Arabidopsis thaliana: one gene and its partners. The protein of the gene in region 1 purifies or fractionates together with the protein of each later gene. This does not show direct contact. Each region holds a gene or a part of one and is shown in the gene's direction. Other genes may lie near its edges.

The links. The genes of interacting proteins can lie anywhere in the genome.
Region 2: the proteins of ACX5 (region 1) and ICDH fractionate together in Arabidopsis thaliana (co-fractionation; one large-scale study listed by BioGRID). This does not show direct contact.
Region 3: the proteins of ACX5 (region 1) and ASP3 fractionate together in Arabidopsis thaliana (co-fractionation; one large-scale study listed by BioGRID). This does not show direct contact.

What each region holds. Positions count from the first base shown.
Region 1 is NC_003071.7:14,997,775-15,003,581, forward strand, and holds ACX5 (acyl-CoA oxidase 5), read left to right. Parts: upstream 1-1,951; 5' UTR 1,952-2,187; coding exon 2,188-2,325; intron 2,326-2,404; coding exon 2,405-2,575; intron 2,576-2,652; coding exon 2,653-2,862; intron 2,863-2,948; coding exon 2,949-3,036; intron 3,037-3,117; coding exon 3,118-3,280; intron 3,281-3,377; coding exon 3,378-3,576; intron 3,577-3,725; coding exon 3,726-3,923; intron 3,924-4,003; coding exon 4,004-4,135; intron 4,136-4,260; coding exon 4,261-4,381; intron 4,382-4,464; coding exon 4,465-4,645; intron 4,646-4,724; coding exon 4,725-5,118; 3' UTR 5,119-5,299; downstream 5,300-5,807. Other genes in the region: AT2G35680 (Phosphotyrosine protein phosphatases superfamily protein), read right to left, coding at 81-174, 260-382, 580-816. UniProt on the Arabidopsis thaliana protein: Catalyzes the desaturation of acyl-CoAs to 2-trans-enoyl-CoAs.
Region 2 is NC_003070.9:20,281,338-20,287,315, forward strand, and holds ICDH (isocitrate dehydrogenase), read left to right. Parts: upstream 1-1,988; 5' UTR 1,989-2,182; coding exon 2,183-2,231; intron 2,232-2,428; coding exon 2,429-2,472; intron 2,473-2,551; coding exon 2,552-2,661; intron 2,662-2,818; coding exon 2,819-2,856; intron 2,857-2,941; coding exon 2,942-3,019; intron 3,020-3,098; coding exon 3,099-3,152; intron 3,153-3,246; coding exon 3,247-3,348; intron 3,349-3,493; coding exon 3,494-3,582; intron 3,583-3,682; coding exon 3,683-3,786; intron 3,787-3,889; coding exon 3,890-3,958; intron 3,959-4,035; coding exon 4,036-4,151; intron 4,152-4,319; coding exon 4,320-4,354; coding exon of another isoform or gene 4,355-4,360; exon of another isoform or gene 4,361-4,459; coding exon 4,460-4,602; intron 4,603-4,860; coding exon 4,861-4,983; intron 4,984-5,072; coding exon 5,073-5,169; 3' UTR 5,170-5,449; downstream 5,450-5,978. Other genes in the region: ABCD2 (ABC transporter family protein), read left to right, coding at 5,580-5,931. UniProt on the Arabidopsis thaliana protein: May be involved in response to oxidative stresses.
Region 3 is NC_003076.8:3,684,417-3,689,375, reverse strand, and holds ASP3 (aspartate aminotransferase 3), read left to right. Parts: upstream 1-1,521; 5' UTR 1,522-1,654; coding exon 1,655-1,840; intron 1,841-2,150; coding exon 2,151-2,222; intron 2,223-2,315; coding exon 2,316-2,377; intron 2,378-2,465; coding exon 2,466-2,549; intron 2,550-2,640; coding exon 2,641-2,740; intron 2,741-2,833; coding exon 2,834-2,954; intron 2,955-3,049; coding exon 3,050-3,213; intron 3,214-3,311; coding exon 3,312-3,449; intron 3,450-3,529; coding exon 3,530-3,746; intron 3,747-3,826; coding exon 3,827-3,947; intron 3,948-4,034; coding exon 4,035-4,119; 3' UTR 4,120-4,430; downstream 4,431-4,959. Other genes in the region: MYB3R-4 (myb domain protein 3r-4), read right to left, coding at 4,692-4,784, 4,912-4,959. UniProt on the Arabidopsis thaliana protein: Amino acid aminotransferase important for the metabolism of amino acids and Krebs-cycle related organic acids. No activity with D-Asp or D-Ala as amino donors. In plants, it is involved in nitrogen metabolism and in aspects of carbon and energy metabolism.

The sequences.
Region 1 (5,807 bases):
CGGGTTCGGACAACAGTAAGCTTTTTAATAATGGTCAGTGGCAAAAAACGTAAAAGAATAAAATGAGAAGGTACACTTACTATGGATAAATTCTACAGCTTGGCATATTGCTTCCATGGAAGGAGCAAAACAATAATCTCTTGTAGCAATCACCAGGTGGTCAATGCAGTAAGACTTCCATAAGAGTAAGAAAATTAAATGGGCCGGGTCAGTACATAGAAGAAACCAAAAGACAGAACGGCCACATTAAATAACTCACTTTGTAGAGAGACGATGGAACCAAAGTTTCATATGGCTCATTCAGAGTGATCACTCCACAAACACCGAGCTCTTTCAGCTGTGGAACATCAGATGGAAATGGAACAGCTCCCAGTAATATAAACTGCAGAAACCAAAGAGAGAGAGAAGCATAAGCAAAAGACCCAGAACCAAATCCAGAAAACATACTTAGAGGAGTATCTACAAGAGATACAACAACAAATGAAGACGATTTTACACAAACCATCAAAAGCAGCACAATCTACATGATCAATGTATCAATTTCCACTAAAACAGCTCAAAGGACAATCAAGATTTTACCTCAGCCACGCGATCCCACCAGCGAAACTCAGATTCGAGCTTATTCCTAACAACGTTGTAAACCAGAGTAGGATAAAACAAAGCACGAGCACCAACACCAACGAGTGCCCTCTTTGTAGTCAACACAATCACGTTTCCTCTGCTCACCAATACCGCCTTATCTCCATCATCAACGTTATCCTCAACCGATCTCTCCCTCTTCTCCTCATCCGTTTCCGTCAGTTCTTTGATATACATATTCCTCAGTCAAAGATCTAAAGATCCAACACACACCAAAAAAAAAAACAATCTATTCTCCTGCCAACCGATGCCCTAATAATCAATCACCAGTCTTATATACACAGACACGATTATTCACAATCCTAATTGATTCGAAGACAAAGCCAAGAAGAAAGTCTACACGTAATCGAAATCGCGATAAAGTCAAGAGGAAGCAACCGAAGAAATTTTGAATTCAAAATCTTCAGGGAGATCACCACCATATTTCGCCTGAAACAAAACGATGATCCGATCAAACGCCGGTAACGACGAGACGGAGAAGACTGAAAAAAATCCGATCACCGATGGATATAAATCAAATTCGCCAAATGACCAAAGAGAAGAATCGCCCTAAGAACAAGTTTTCGAAATTTGGGGATCGAGAATTTTGTTTTTGCCTAATCTCTACTCAACCTTTAGGTTTTCTCTTTAAGAGAGGAGAACCAAAAAAAGAAGGATCTCAGTGTTTTCAATGAGAGGGTTTTTGCTAAACTGACAAGCGTTTCACCTCTTATTGTAGCTTTTATGTGAAAGTCAATGCTCTGTTGACACGTGTTTTGCCGATTTATGGAGAAAGAGTCATGCGTCGCACAAGGCCCGGATAATATTAGGATTATCCTTTCTTTAACTCTTTTTTTTGTTTTGGATAAGATCCTTTCTTTAATTTTTAAGTATCAAATTAATTTAAGTTTTTTAAAAGAACAATTAATTTACCCATATTTGAAATGAAAAGAAAATTATGTTTTTAATTGTTAAAATTCAAGACTTCTTGAGCCAAAAATAAAGTTCTCTTTGAGCTTAAGAAAAAGTATCTAAGTCCTCTAAAATATTAAATTCAAAACAAACAAAACTAGTCCTGGGTAATACTTTCGAGTAAAAAGAATTTACAACTAGGCTACAAAATAGAAATTACTGCAAATAGGCTTTATTATATTGGAGTGATTTACTAAAGTCAACAAAAAAAAATCAAAAGTAGCTGAGCAAATTATCTACAGCCCACGAGAGTGTAGTAATGGGCTAATGGGCTAATGGCAACTATGATGTGTAGATGATTAGAGAGAGCTTGATTAGTTTTAAACCAAATCTTATCACGTCTTTCATTAGAATCCGATATAAATGATAAATACTTGGAACTTTCTATTACCAATTTTTTTGTTACCTTTATTACATTAGTCTCTCTTTCTGTTCAAACTTGTAATCCTAAAAATAGAACAAAATCCTCTGTTTTTTCTGTAACGAATTCTTTCTTATTGAATCACCCAAAGGTAAGAGCTTTTTTAGTGGCTTCTCTTTCTTTGATTTATCCAATTTTTCACACACACTCGAGAATCTGAGACAATAGAGAGAACAATGGAGAGAGTTGATCACCTTGCCGATGAGAGGAACAAAGCAGAGTTCAACGTCGACGATATGAAGATCGTCTGGGCCGGTTCCCGCCACGCTTTCGATGTTTCAAATCGTATGTCTCGCCTCGTCGCTAATGATCCGGTAAGATTTCTCCTTCCTCCTTTCTCTGTTTTTCCGGCGACATTTCCGATGTGAATTTCGAAACTTTTGCCATGTTAAGGTCTTTGAGAAAAGCAAAAGAGCTGTGATGAGTAGGAAAGAGTTGTTCAAGAACACGTTGAGGAAAAGTGTTCACGCTTGGAAGTTGATTAACGAGCTTCGTCTCTCAGATGAGGAAGGACTCAAATTGAGATCTTTCATGGATCAACCAGGCTTCTTGGATCTGCATTGGGTATAACACAAAATTTACAATTTCCCTTGGGTGGTTTAATTAGAATTTTGGTGTTGAATTGGTTTTGTGGTGGATAGGGAATGTTTGTGCCTGCAATTAAAGGACAAGGCACAGAGCAACAACAACAAAAGTGGTTGTCTTTAGCTACTAAGATGCAGATAATTGGATGTTATGCTCAAACTGAGCTTGGTCATGGCTCTAATGTTCAAGGCCTTGAGACAACCGCTACTTTTGATCCAAAGACAGATCAGTTTATCATTCACAGTCCAACTCAGACATCATCCAAAGTAAGGGGAAGAAGTATAGACAGTTATCTATTTTGATCTCTGAGTGTTTAAATTGTGTCTTGATTTTGTTTTGTTTGAAACATTAGTGGTGGCCTGGTGGGTTAGGAAAAGTTTCTACTCATGCTGTTATTTATGCTCGTCTAATAACCAATGGCAAAGACCATGGTGTACATGGTAAGGCACTAGAACGATTTCTTATTCATTTTTTTAATAATCATCAGTAGTATTGAGTAACAAGATTTTTCTGTTTTTCAGGATTCATCGTGCAGCTGCGTAGTTTGGATGATCATTCTCCTCTTCCGGGTATAACCGTTGGTGATATCGGAATGAAGTTTGGAAACGGGGCATATAACTCAATGGACAATGGTTTTCTTATGTTTGATCATTTTCGCATTCCTAGAGATCAAATGCTCATGAGGTCCTCTCTCTTTGGCCCTTTCTATGAATAAAAGCATTTTATCATTTAATATCCCTAAGAGAAACAGATTTATGGTTGTGCATTTTTCTTCTTATAGACTGTCAAAAGTTACAAGAGAAGGAAAATATGTAGCATCAGATGTTCCAAGGCAATTGGTGTATGGTACTATGGTGTATGTGAGACAGTCTATTGTGTCAAATGCTTCCACCGCGCTGGCTCGGGCAGTTTGCATTGCTACTAGGTACAGTGCTGTTCGAAGGCAGTTTGGCTCACATGATGGTGGCATTGAGACACAGGTATTCAACAAATCTCACTATTCATAACTATGGGGCAAAAATGTTTTCTGTAACTTAGTTAAGTAAGAATCCAATCTCTAGATAGAATATGGTCATCAGTCATGACCATAAACATAGAGACCAGTTATTGATGTTGTTATAATTGGCAGGTGATTAATTATAAAACTCAGCAGAACAGGTTGTTTCCTCTGCTGGCATCTGCATATGCATTTCGGTTTGTAGGGGAATGGCTGAAGTGGCTCTACACTGATGTAACAAAAAGACTAGAGGCCAGTGATTTCGCAACATTGCCTGAAGCTCATGCATGCACTGCTGGATTGAAGTCTATGACTACCTCAGCCACCTCTGTATGCTTTCAAATCTTAACTTATTAAAATAAGTTGAATATTATCAGCTAAACTGTGTTTTTTTTGTTGTTGGTTAAAAGGATGGGATTGAAGAATGTCGTAAGTTATGTGGTGGACATGGATACTTGTGGTGTAGTGGGCTTCCTGAATTGTTTGCTGTATATGTTCCTGCTTGCACATACGAGGGAGACAATGTTGTGTTGCAGTTACAGGTATTCTTAAACTTATCTTCTTGAATATCACTTTTAAGAATCATTTCAAGCCCCTACTCTTTATAATGGCAAATGAAATGGTCTTAAAATTTTGTTATATATGTTTTAAAACAATGGATCTTCAGGTTGCTAGATTTCTGATGAAGACAGTTTCACAGTTGGGTTCTGGAAAGGCTCCTTCTGGGACAACTGCTTATATGGGCAGAGCAAAACACCTTTTGCAATGCAGTTCCGGAGTTCGAAATGGTGATTTTTTCATGGATACTACCATAATATTTATACTCTTTATATCTACCTGTTTTCTGAATTTATCTTGGTTGAGAATGTAGCTAGGGACTGGTTAAACCCTGGTATGGTGTTGGAAGCTTTTGAAGCAAGAGCTTTGAGAATGGCTGTTACTTGTGCTAACAATCTAAGCAAGTTTGAGAATCAAGAACAAGGATTCTCAGAACTCTTGGCTGATCTTGTTGAGGCTGCTACTGCTCATTGCCAGTTAATTGTTGTTTCTAAGTAAGTAAATAAGCTTCTTCACTAAAATTTTACAAACTAATCAACAGACTCAAATCATAACTTACGTGAAAATTCACAGGTTTATAGCCAAAGTAGAGGGAGATATTGAAGGAAAAGGAGTGAAGAAACAGCTCAAGAATCTATGCTACATCTACGCACTCTATCTCCTTCACAAACACCTTGGTGATTTCCTCAGTACAAACTCTGTTACTCCTGAACAAGCCTCACTTGCGAACCAGCAGCTTCGATCACTCTACTCTCAGGTTCGACCAAACGCAGTGGCCCTAGTGGACGCCTTCGACTACACGGACCAGTATCTTGGCTCTGTCTTAGGCCGCTATGACGGAAACGTTTATCCAAAGCTTTTCGAGGAAGCGTTGAAGGATCCACTCAATGACTCGGTGGTTCCTGACGGCTACCGTGAGTACATCCGACCGTTGATTAAGCAACGCTTCCGCTCTGCCAAACTCTAACTCTTTCTTTGTGCGGCTAAAAGGGGCAACACTGTTTTATTTATGTTATATTTTATTCATGTTTTTAACAAATGTGAAGTAAACTACAAATATCTTAAGTTATATGGGTGATAAATTAATATTTGTAAAATATCACATTTATTTATCTATGAAGAAATAAAACAGATTAATTGCATATACAATTTTGTGGTTGTACTATTGCATTTGCATGTCAGCAGATTTTACGATCACATTTAGTTTTATGTGCCCTTTTGCTTTACCTTCTATTAATTGGCTTTTTTCGATCCATAAAGTTTCCTTACGTTTTTAGTTATTAATTGAGCAATTAATAACCGAATTAGTTAGTTGAATATGTATTTATCATACAATTTGTGGTTGTACTATTGCTATTAGCCAACTGTTGTCGTCTATCTAAATCCTCCAACATTGAAAAAAACAAACTAAAACAAATAATACATTCGTATTAAAAAAGAAAACTTGTTAGTTGGTTAGTAGTGAAGGTAGTTACGACACCATCCTTAAATTAATTTTGACAGCTTATGTCTTTAATCTTGTTTAACCCAAGAGTCTAAATTAAAGACGAAAACCAAGTTTGACTGACTCTTCCGATATATGCATGTACACTATATCACATATCTATATGTGCATGTATATATGAGTATGATCTATATGACTATAGATGTATGTAT
Region 2 (5,978 bases), on another chromosome or scaffold:
TATAACGTTTGCTTTAAACCAAAAATGAAGGCTTTTTATGATTCAACAGTTTAGGGGACCCATCTCTTCTTCTCAAACCAAATCTACCTGGCGACACCTAAACACTCGGCTTTTTCTTTTCTTTTTTTTTCGGTTTGACAGTTTTGTTATATTGTTTTATGTTGTTATGGTCTTATAATAAGAATACTTATAAATTGAATTCATATATATGATTAAAAAATGGGAGAATAAAAAAGCAGGAGGCATCCAAGTCGACTTTGGCTTTAGTGTTGGGAGGCTTCTTTAGTCCCTTTTACATATGGATTAAAGACGTTGTTCGGCTCTTTTACATCATTACTCCCACACAATCTTTGACTCTCTTTCTCTCGGCCCTTCAATTTTACTAACTTCCGGTCAAATCTCTTTTGCCTCGACTCTCGGCCTCGATCCAAAAGATAAATTAAAAAAATAAGGACATCTTCATTCTTCACATGTATGATATATATAACTCATGTCATATATTAGATGTCTCGTTTACATGGTTTTTTTTCGTTTGCTAATATATATAATTCACATGTAGACGAAGAACATTGTAAACGGAATTTAACAGAATGAAGTAATCAAACGTTTTATGTAAGGAAATGATCAAATACTGAGGGAGTCCACAAGTTGCGACATATATAAAACTCCTCCATTCTTATAAAGTATAATATTCAAACTTCAAGTAAGTAACTCTCCCTTTTCCGTGAGAAAGAAATAACAATAACATTTTAGGGAAGCTTTAAGATGTGGTCACCAATAACTTAGGGAGAGAGAGAGAGAGTGACAGATACAAAAAACAAAAGATAGCAACTGAAAAATATTTTGGCGAAAGATGCTTTAACAGTTTAACTTATCAAACGACAACAACAAGACATGCCCCAATTGTTTCACCACTTTGTTTTTCTTGGTCACAAATCGAGTCTAAGTCTATATGAACAAGTAATTAATGTGAGTACTATATATAAAAAAAAATGTGACTATATATATAAATGTTGTATCACAAATGCAAAAGGAATGTGGATTAATTAATTAATAAAGACAACGAGGAAGCTAACATGCAAGCCTAACTAAAGACATGCAACCTTTGATACGATCTAAGGGGAAGCGAATAAAGCTAATTAAGATCTAAGCATCTTATCTTATCAACCCTTTTATATTTCCATTTCACATGTATCAAGTACCTATACTCTTTCTCAAGCTTATAGTATTGATATCTAGAGTATCAAATAAACATTAATTAATTAGACGTAACACAATAGTGACATTATTAAATGAATAGTAAACAAACTTTACGTGTATATATATCCATGACGAAATTGGCAAAGGCGGGACTCTATGGGGGAATCATGATAATACATACATACGATATACATGTTGACATGTATCATGTATCATGATAATACATACATCATCCCTTTTTTGTTGGTTTGTTAATAAAATGATCATACATCATCTTAAACATCAACATCAATCACAATTCTTCTAAAAGAGAAGAAGAGTCTTGTTCAGAAAAAGTAGCATCTGATTCCCTACATGTCGGTTTCCAAAACATATTTTTTTTCCATCTCATATTAGTTTGTGCTAAACAAACTGATCCAAGGAAAAAAGAAAAGCCTTTAAATAATACAAGTTGGAATCCCTGTGTCTCTAGAGATTCTTGCTTTCATGTTTTTTCACGCATCTCAATTATAGCAGAAGAACAATGTCACTGTCCAAAAACATTTGCGTTATTTGCCTTTTGCTTTTCTCCATGCATTAAATCTCATTTCTACCCTTGTTAAAGTGGTCACACTCATTACTCTTTTTAATATACTAATCCTACAGGACCACCTCGTGATTGTTATCTCAAATTTTGATTAATTATTCAATCAATTAGCCAAAGCAGATCTTCTTCAATTTTAAGATTTTGATGATTACTGTTAAAGCTGACTATCACTGCGGGGAATTCAAAGATGATGCTAGTATACAAAAAGAGAAGCATGGTTTCAAATTGCAGAATCAGGCCCATATATAAGTGGGCTTGATTATTTGGGCTTTTGGAAGAGTGTGGCCCAACATAGAGATATAGAGCTGTTATCGTCTGTCTTTCATGGCGGAGCAGAGGTGATCGTTTCACTATTCAATTTCACTCGTCGATCATTACCAACCTCTGCGGGCAAAGATGGAATTCGAGAAGATCAAGGTGATCAATCCCGTTGTTGAAATGGATGGTAAGTGTTCGAACAGTCAATTAGCTCAAATCTATGATTACGATTATGGGTTTCTCGTTACTCTGATTGATTGATTTGCTTATATTGGAGTATATGTGATCGGCTCTGTTCCGGGTTTTTCTTTTCTTCTATATGTTATAGTTTTATGAAATAAATTCAGAAACTTGACTCTTTATTTATTCTCTGTGCACAAGCAGGAGACGAAATGACTCGAGTTATCTGGAAATTCATCAAAGACAAGGTAAAAATCTTAACTTTTTTTTAAATCTTTAATCACAGATTGAATTCTTTTTGTGATTAAAATCTTGAGAATTTTGCAGCTTATTTTCCCTTTCCTGGAGCTGGATATCAAATACTTTGATCTTGGACTGCCTAACCGCGATTTCACTGATGATAAGGTTACTATAGAGACTGCTGAAGCTACTTTAAAGTATGTCGTCTTTACATTTTATACTTAGATATCATATTCTCCATGCTTTCTGCTTCTAGTGTTGAGGTTGTTCTGTGAATAAAGCTTGTTCATGGCTATTGGTTTCAGAATATATTGTCTGCCTTAAAGTTTTTTTCTTTTCTTTTCTTGTGTGAAGGTATAATGTGGCTATTAAGTGTGCGACGATTACTCCGGGTATGTATTCTTAAACCTTTGCAATTTTTAATTTAAAAGTGTGCTTCTTTCACTTACTAACAACAGTTTTTGCTTTCAACGACAGATGAAGCTCGTGTTAGGGAGTTCGGCTTAAAGAAAATGTGGAGGAGTCCTAATGGAACTATAAGGAACATTTTAAACGGTCAGTTTCTTCGCCAAAAAAGGGGGCAATTCCTTCTTCAATTCCTAAGCTCTAAGATCATGTTGTTATTTTTATGCAGGCACAGTTTTCAGGGAACCTATCATTTGCAGAAACATCCCTCGTCTTGTTCCAGGTTTGTCAATGGCTGCTCTTTTTGTATGAGTTAGCCATTTTCTGTACCTTTAACATGTAGAGCAAAACAAATCCCTCTGATTTCATTTCCTCAGGATGGACGAAGCCAATCTGTATTGGAAGGCATGCTTTTGGTGATCAGTATAGAGCCACTGATCTCATTGTCAATGAACCAGGAAAACTGAAACTAGTTTTTGGTAATCTCCTCCTCCCGTTCTGGATCTGTCTAACCCTTCAATTAAATTGTTCATTATAGAGAATAATGGGGGATCATTGTCATTGAATTCACCTACCTGTGGAAGTTTATTTATACACGTTAAAAATCATATCTTACATATGCAGAGCCAAGTGGATCTTCTCAGAAAACAGAATTCGAAGTCTTCAATTTCACCGGTGGAGGTGTTGCTTTAGCCATGTATAACACTGATGAGGTAGATATTATTGAAATAGTCCTCTCCTTCATGTCTGCACTATCTGAATACACTTACAGAGTATCTATTGATATGGTGGTCCGATTTCATTTTTGAACAGTCTATTCGTGCATTTGCTGAGTCCTCGATGTACACAGCTTACCAGAAAAAGTGGCCACTTTACCTCTCCACAAAAAACACCATCCTCAAAATATATGATGGAAGGTGTGAATTCACTGGCCTTTATACTTTCTTGTTAGAGTCTCACCGAAATCATTTCACCATCTAGTCATACTGCCCTGATATTACCTTTTCATCTTGTTTTCAGATTCAAGGATATATTCCAAGAAGTTTATGAAGCTAACTGGAGATCCAAGTATGAAGCAGCAGGGATATGGTGAGATGTGCATGTTATTAGCGACATTCTATTACAGTACACCATGCAAACTTGTAAACAAAGTTAATGAAATCCAGGTATGAGCATCGTTTGATAGATGATATGGTTGCATATGCCATGAAAAGTGAAGGGGGTTACGTCTGGGCATGCAAGAATTACGATGGAGATGTACAGAGCGATTTCTTAGCCCAAGGTTTTTCCTCTTAAATTTGAGATCTGTCTAGGGACTGAAACCTTAATTCTGCCAAATGCATTTTGGTCTTGTATCATGGTTCTTTGTTCTTTACTTGTGATCTAAATGGGGACAGAAACTTCAATTTTATTTCTCCTTATGAAACAAAGTTTCTGCTCTCCGCTGCAGGATATGGATCTCTGGGAATGATGACTTCGGTGTTGGTATGAAATGACGCGGGCCTCAGCCAAAGTTTTTGGTCTTTATCATGATAACATGTTTCCTGCGCATCATTATATTTTATGTATTAAATTTGAGATATATTACAGGTTTGTCCAGATGGAAAGACCATTGAAGCAGAAGCAGCTCATGGCACAGTTACACGCCACTACAGAGTTCACCAGAAAGGTGGTGAAACAAGCACCAACAGCATAGCCTCTATTTTTGCTTGGTCCAGAGGCCTTGCCCACAGGTAACGCATTTCCACTGTCTTTAAACATTTTCATACTTGGTAATTCGTGTTGCTACTCTGGAGAAAATCCAGTCCCTTGCTTCAATAATGAGTTAGTCTATCAGGGATTGTTTGTGGTAAGATTTGTCATTACTTGTCTCTTTATAATTGATCACTGAACTATGTGAACCGTTTTACCTTTGGCATAAATTGAGTTTAAAGTCTCTGAAAACTGGTTGAGTTCATCTTAACAAGATGTTTGGTATGTGATGGTACCAGGGCAAAGCTGGACAGCAATGCCGCACTCTTGAGCTATACTGAGAAACTAGAAGCAGCTTGCATGGGGACGGTGGAGTCTGGCAAAATGACCAAGGATCTAGCTCTTCTGATCCACGGAGCCAAGTAAGACTAAAACTTGAGAGAAAGTTGATGAGGTTGATGCACTTAATAAAAAATGTTTAAAGATAAGTTTTTGTCTACTATTTGAACAGGGTTAGGAGGGATCAGTATGTGAATACGGAAGAGTTCATTGATGCGGTGGCATGGGAGTTAAAAAGAAGATTGTTAGGCAACAACTCCAGGTTGTGAGAAGAAAGAATGGAAATCTGAAAAGCAAAGAGTCTCAGCAGCGTGATGTTTGATTTGATGCTCTTTCATAGGTGTAGAACTTAAAGCCTGAAAAGGGGCTATTGCATGAATAAAAGGAGATAGACTAATTGGGTAATTTATTGAGGAACTCAGATTTCCCAAAGCCGAGACTCACTCCTCATTGATTCGTTAAAAATTGAATCTTTTTAGCCCTTCTTTCTCTGTATAATCTCTGTTGTAAAAGCTACCAATCAACAGAAATGGCTACGTTCTCGTTGTCATTATCTTCTCTTTCCCTTTGTATTATTTATCTGGCAAAGAAATGAATGGTTGAGCTTTAGTTATAAGTGTTCCCTCTTGCTCCCTCAAGTTGCTATGGCTATGTGGGATTAGTAAGAAGACGACGGAGGATGATTTTGATGATAACAGCTCCCGTTTGTCCTCCTCACCTTCTCCTACGCCATTCTTCTTTGCTTCGCCATGAATCATCGATCGGAAACTTTCATCGGAAGAAAAATCCACGTTTCAGAACCGTATCATGTTCTTCTTTGTTGCCGCAACCGTCGGTTCGTCCGGATAAGGCATCGGAGTTGAAGACTCTGTGGAAGAAATTCTACAAAGTCGCGTCGCCTTATTGGTTTTCCGAGGACAAAGACCAAGCCAGGCTTCGTCTCGCCGCCGTCTTCGCCCTTACTCTCGCCACCACCGGCATTAGCGTCGGCTTCAATTTCCTCGGCCGTGATTTCTACAATTCTCTCGCCAGTACGAATTCTTCAACTCTCTCTCTCATTTCTCACTTTTCAAAAACA
Region 3 (4,959 bases), on another chromosome or scaffold:
CTTCTCCATGGTCGAACTCAAATTAAAATTTTGTCTACCCCTCTCAAAAACATATATGGACCAACCATTTATTCTGTAGAAACATTAAATTAACTTATTTTATCCATTAAAGTATCAGTTATAAAGCAAAGCATCCCAAAACTCATCAGAAACCGGCCACTAAAAAACAAAGGTATATGAGACATAATTGGCGTCTTGAATAATCTCTTCACAGCAACCAGTTTTTACAACAAATCCCAAGCTCAACGAAGCCATCGACGATCCAAGTAATTGGTTCTCTATTCTTATATCGGGTCAGAATCCATTTGCCGGACCCAACCAACCACCCCCACTATGGGATAGGAAGGACGTACAAAAACATTTAGACGATAAAAAGTGGATTTCGCATATCAACCCAGGACGTGTTACAATTTTGATGGGTTAACTTAACCTGGCCGTGGATCAGTAAACCAGCCCTCGAACCATCAACACCTGATAAGTCAAGTAACTGAGTAAGTACTTTCGAGGATACAAATTTCTTTCTTGGAGAAGATAGGAGAACGTCCTCGTATCAACGAAAAAATATGAAGATTATAATTTGCCGGATTTTTAAATTAATCGAATGCTTTGCTTTTCAGCAATAATCTGGTTTTGGACTAAAATGATCTTGGATTGGAAATTGTGTGGTGAAGTAAGAAGCTCTAATCTTGGAGCTCATCTTATTGCCAAGAGCGTGACAATGGAGGATCGCCGCCAATCGTATGTAGCAAGCGGATTTCCTTTTTGGCTGAAACATCTTTTTGAGAAAGAAAGAAGTATTGCTTAGTGTAATATTCAACGTGGTTGATCTAGAATGATTGTCCTTGATCCTAACTTTTTGTATATTTGGTTACAATCTTGAATATAAAATATATCTTTCAGTGAAAAAAAAAAAAAAGAGACTAAAATGATCCATTATCCAAAATTGTAAATCATATAAAAGTAATTTAAAATAAAGATTAAATTATACTAATAAACTAGAATAATCAACATAAGCTTGATATGGGGACTAGACCAAACAAACTTCTATCATCGTAAGTTCGTAACCACAAGTAACCATCATCAATCAGATATTTAATATATTTCATGTTACACTAAGTATTAAATCACATATTCATCCTCTTCAACAAAGGTCGTTGACAAAATCAAAAACAACTATACGTTGATCATATTAATAATCTCTAGCATTTTGGTTGTTTGTTATTTTTTATTAATAACAGATAAATAAATAATTTCACATTTAACCAAAAAAAAATACTAGCAGCTAAACAATGAGCATTGTAAAATCTCCCAAACAATCAAAGAGTTTTTCTCTATATAACATTATTGGTAGTGTAAAAAATGTAAAATTTATGTTAGATTTTCAACAATTAAAATGCGAATATAAACCCTATTTTTGGAGTATTTTAATTCCCTGTTTTCCCGGCTTTTTCATGGATAATCTTACAAAGACTTTTTAATATCTTGATGATGATGATGATGATGATGCTTCAGGCACGCAACTTTATGCCAAGCTTACGTGGCAAATTTGGATAGCCAAAAATAAATTAGAAGACCAAATTGATATAAAGAAAGAGATCTTCGTATTCAACTATTTCTTCATTCGTAAACAAACACACACGAAGCAAAAACAAAAATGAAAACTACTCATTTCTCTTCCTCTTCTTCTTCCGATCGCAGGATCGGTGCTCTGCTCCGTCATCTCAATTCCGGCTCAGATTCGGACAACCTGAGCTCTCTTTATGCATCTCCGACATCGGGAGGCACCGGTGGTTCTGTTTTCTCTCATCTTGTTCAAGCTCCAGAGGATCCTATTCTTGGGGTACCTTCTTCTTCTTCGATTATGTTTTGTGTGTCTATATCATTCTCAAACATATTGGACGATACTTTTGGATATGTGTATCATACGCATTGGATCCGTTATTGATTGGTGGGAATTCACGATCTCTCGATAAAATGACATGATGTTTTATGAAATGGGATAAGATTTGATGTTTATGCTTCTGAATTTGGTTCGTTTGATTAGTAATTCATTTTTTTTTCACCAAATTTTCAGCTCTGAGATGAATTATGATGATTAGTGTGGTTATGTCAGTGATTCTGATATTTGTTTTTCACAAAAAAATGAATAGGTGACAGTTGCATACAACAAAGATCCTAGCCCAGTTAAGCTGAATTTAGGAGTTGGTGCTTACCGAACTGAGGTAATGTTACAATGAAGATGTGTCTCTGTTCTTTGATTTATTATTTTTGTTGTTGCAACTGAAAAGGATTGGTTGTTTATTGATGGGTTACAGGAGGGAAAACCTTTGGTTCTTAATGTTGTGAGGAAAGCTGAGCAGCAGCTTATCAATGACAGGTTTACCTCTCTTTCTTTTGGTTTCTACCCTTTATGTGTGTGTGTGTGCTTGATGATGTTGAATCTTGTTTTGTGTGTTAATCTGTAGAACAAGAATCAAGGAGTATCTTCCCATTGTTGGATTGGTTGAGTTCAACAAGTTAAGCGCTAAGCTCATACTAGGCGCTGACAGGTATGCATTCTCTGTTTATTCTTTATGTTTTCATCACTTTGTTTTTTCTTTAGACAATTCTTTATGATTGGTGTTCTCATGTATGGTTTAGTCCTGCTATTCGGGAGAATCGGATTACCACCGTGGAGTGTTTGTCTGGTACTGGTTCTCTGAGAGTTGGAGGAGAGTTTTTGGCTAAACATTATCATCAGGTTGATGCTTAAGCCTAATTTCCTATCTGATTGAATTTCTTCATCCTATAGAACTTCTCATAGAAATTTGGAGTCTTTTCCTTTGCTTTTCAGAAAACAATTTACATCACTCAGCCAACATGGGGAAATCATCCAAAGATTTTCACGCTCGCTGGTTTGACAGTGAAAACTTACCGATACTACGATCCAGCGACGCGTGGGTTGAACTTTCAAGGTGAGACTACTGAGTTCTTTGCTTGCTATTGTTGATATGCTTATATATCTTTCTGAATTCGTTTACGTCAACTTTTTTTCTTCTTTTGTTCACAGGTTTATTAGAAGACCTTGGTGCTGCCGCACCTGGTTCTATAGTGCTTCTCCATGCCTGTGCCCATAACCCTACTGGTGTTGATCCAACCATTCAACAATGGGAGCAAATCAGGAAGTTGATGCGATCAAAGGGATTGATGCCCTTCTTCGATAGTGCTTATCAGGTACACCTGATGAATCCTTTTGTGTAAGATCAGCTGATATTTAAACCATTTTCCTTCTGAATCAATGGTTAATACTTGTCTCTCTTTTTGTATCGCAGGGCTTTGCAAGTGGAAGTCTTGATACAGATGCGAAACCTATTAGGATGTTTGTTGCTGATGGCGGAGAATGCCTCGTTGCTCAAAGTTATGCGAAGAACATGGGACTCTATGGAGAACGAGTTGGAGCTCTCAGCATTGTAAGAACCTGTTGCATTGCAAGAAATCTATTTAAGAAACGCGTAAGAAATTCTTTCTGACATAAAAGAAGTTGTTGTAGGTATGCAAATCAGCAGATGTTGCGGGGAGAGTTGAAAGCCAACTGAAACTAGTGATAAGGCCAATGTACTCGAGTCCTCCAATCCATGGTGCATCAATCGTGGCTGTAATCCTCCGTGACAAGAATTTGTTCAACGAATGGACTCTGGAACTGAAGGCCATGGCTGATCGTATCATCAGCATGAGGAAACAGCTTTTCGAGGCATTACGTACTCGAGGTAAGTAAGGTCTTATTGATTTGTATAAGGAATGTAAATGGACATAGCTAATGAAATGAAATTCAAAATCACTGTGACAGGCACTCCTGGAGACTGGAGTCACATCATAAAGCAGATTGGTATGTTTACCTTCACAGGGTTAAACCCAGCTCAAGTCTCCTTCATGACTAAAGAGTACCACATCTACATGACATCTGACGGGTAAGCGCCTGCCTCTCTTCTTCATCTATTAATTTTCTTGAATTTTGTCTAACTTAGTGTGTGATGATTGATATAAATGAACCAAAGGAGGATAAGCATGGCTGGTCTGAGTTCGAAGACTGTACCTCACCTTGCAGACGCTATCCATGCTGTTGTCACCAAAGCCGTCTGAGAAACTGAACACCACCATGACACCAAAGCTTCATAATAAAGATTTTGTTCTTTTCTTTCTATTATAGCATTTCCGGCAGTGACAAGATAAATGTCGTTACTATTATTATTGTTTCATCCCAGTATCAATAAAGTACGCAAGAAAGCTTTTGTGCTCTCTCTTCTACTATTGCTTACAACTCTTTTTTGGTTTCTTATAGAGTCAAATGTTTAAGAGAAAACATTTGAGATTTAAGCTGGTGAACTTGAATACAGTTCATGTAGAATCTGAGGTTTTAGCATATGACGGAATTGCAGAAACTATTTAGATTAAACTAGCAGAGAACAAGAATAAGTTACTGCAGTTGGTTCGTTTCACAGAGTATACGGACGTGTACTCATTGCAGGCAAATGAAATATGTATATATATATTGAACACAGAATCTACATAAATTCACTCCAATTGATCCATTAAAAAGAAACAGAGAAAAAAAATTGATCCAGCCAGGGATAATTCATAAAAGATGCACATACATATTTATACATTGTTCATGTATGGTGCATTTTGCATATTATGTATAAGCTTTTGGCATTTTACCTACATCCCTTCAAGAGGTAGGATGAGACTTCTTCTGTTGCTTTGATTGGAGACTCGCAATCGTTGAAGTCCAGCACTCGACGCTCCGCCTATAGATTGAGAAATGTTCAAAACACAAAATCAATGGAGCACAAAACATTTTTCTTTGTTTCTAGAACTATAATCTCAAAACCGTCTACTTAGAGAGTGAATGATTTGTAGAGTATGTATATATACCAGTAGAGGATCATTATTCTCTTTATCCAATTCCTTCTTCTGCCTCGC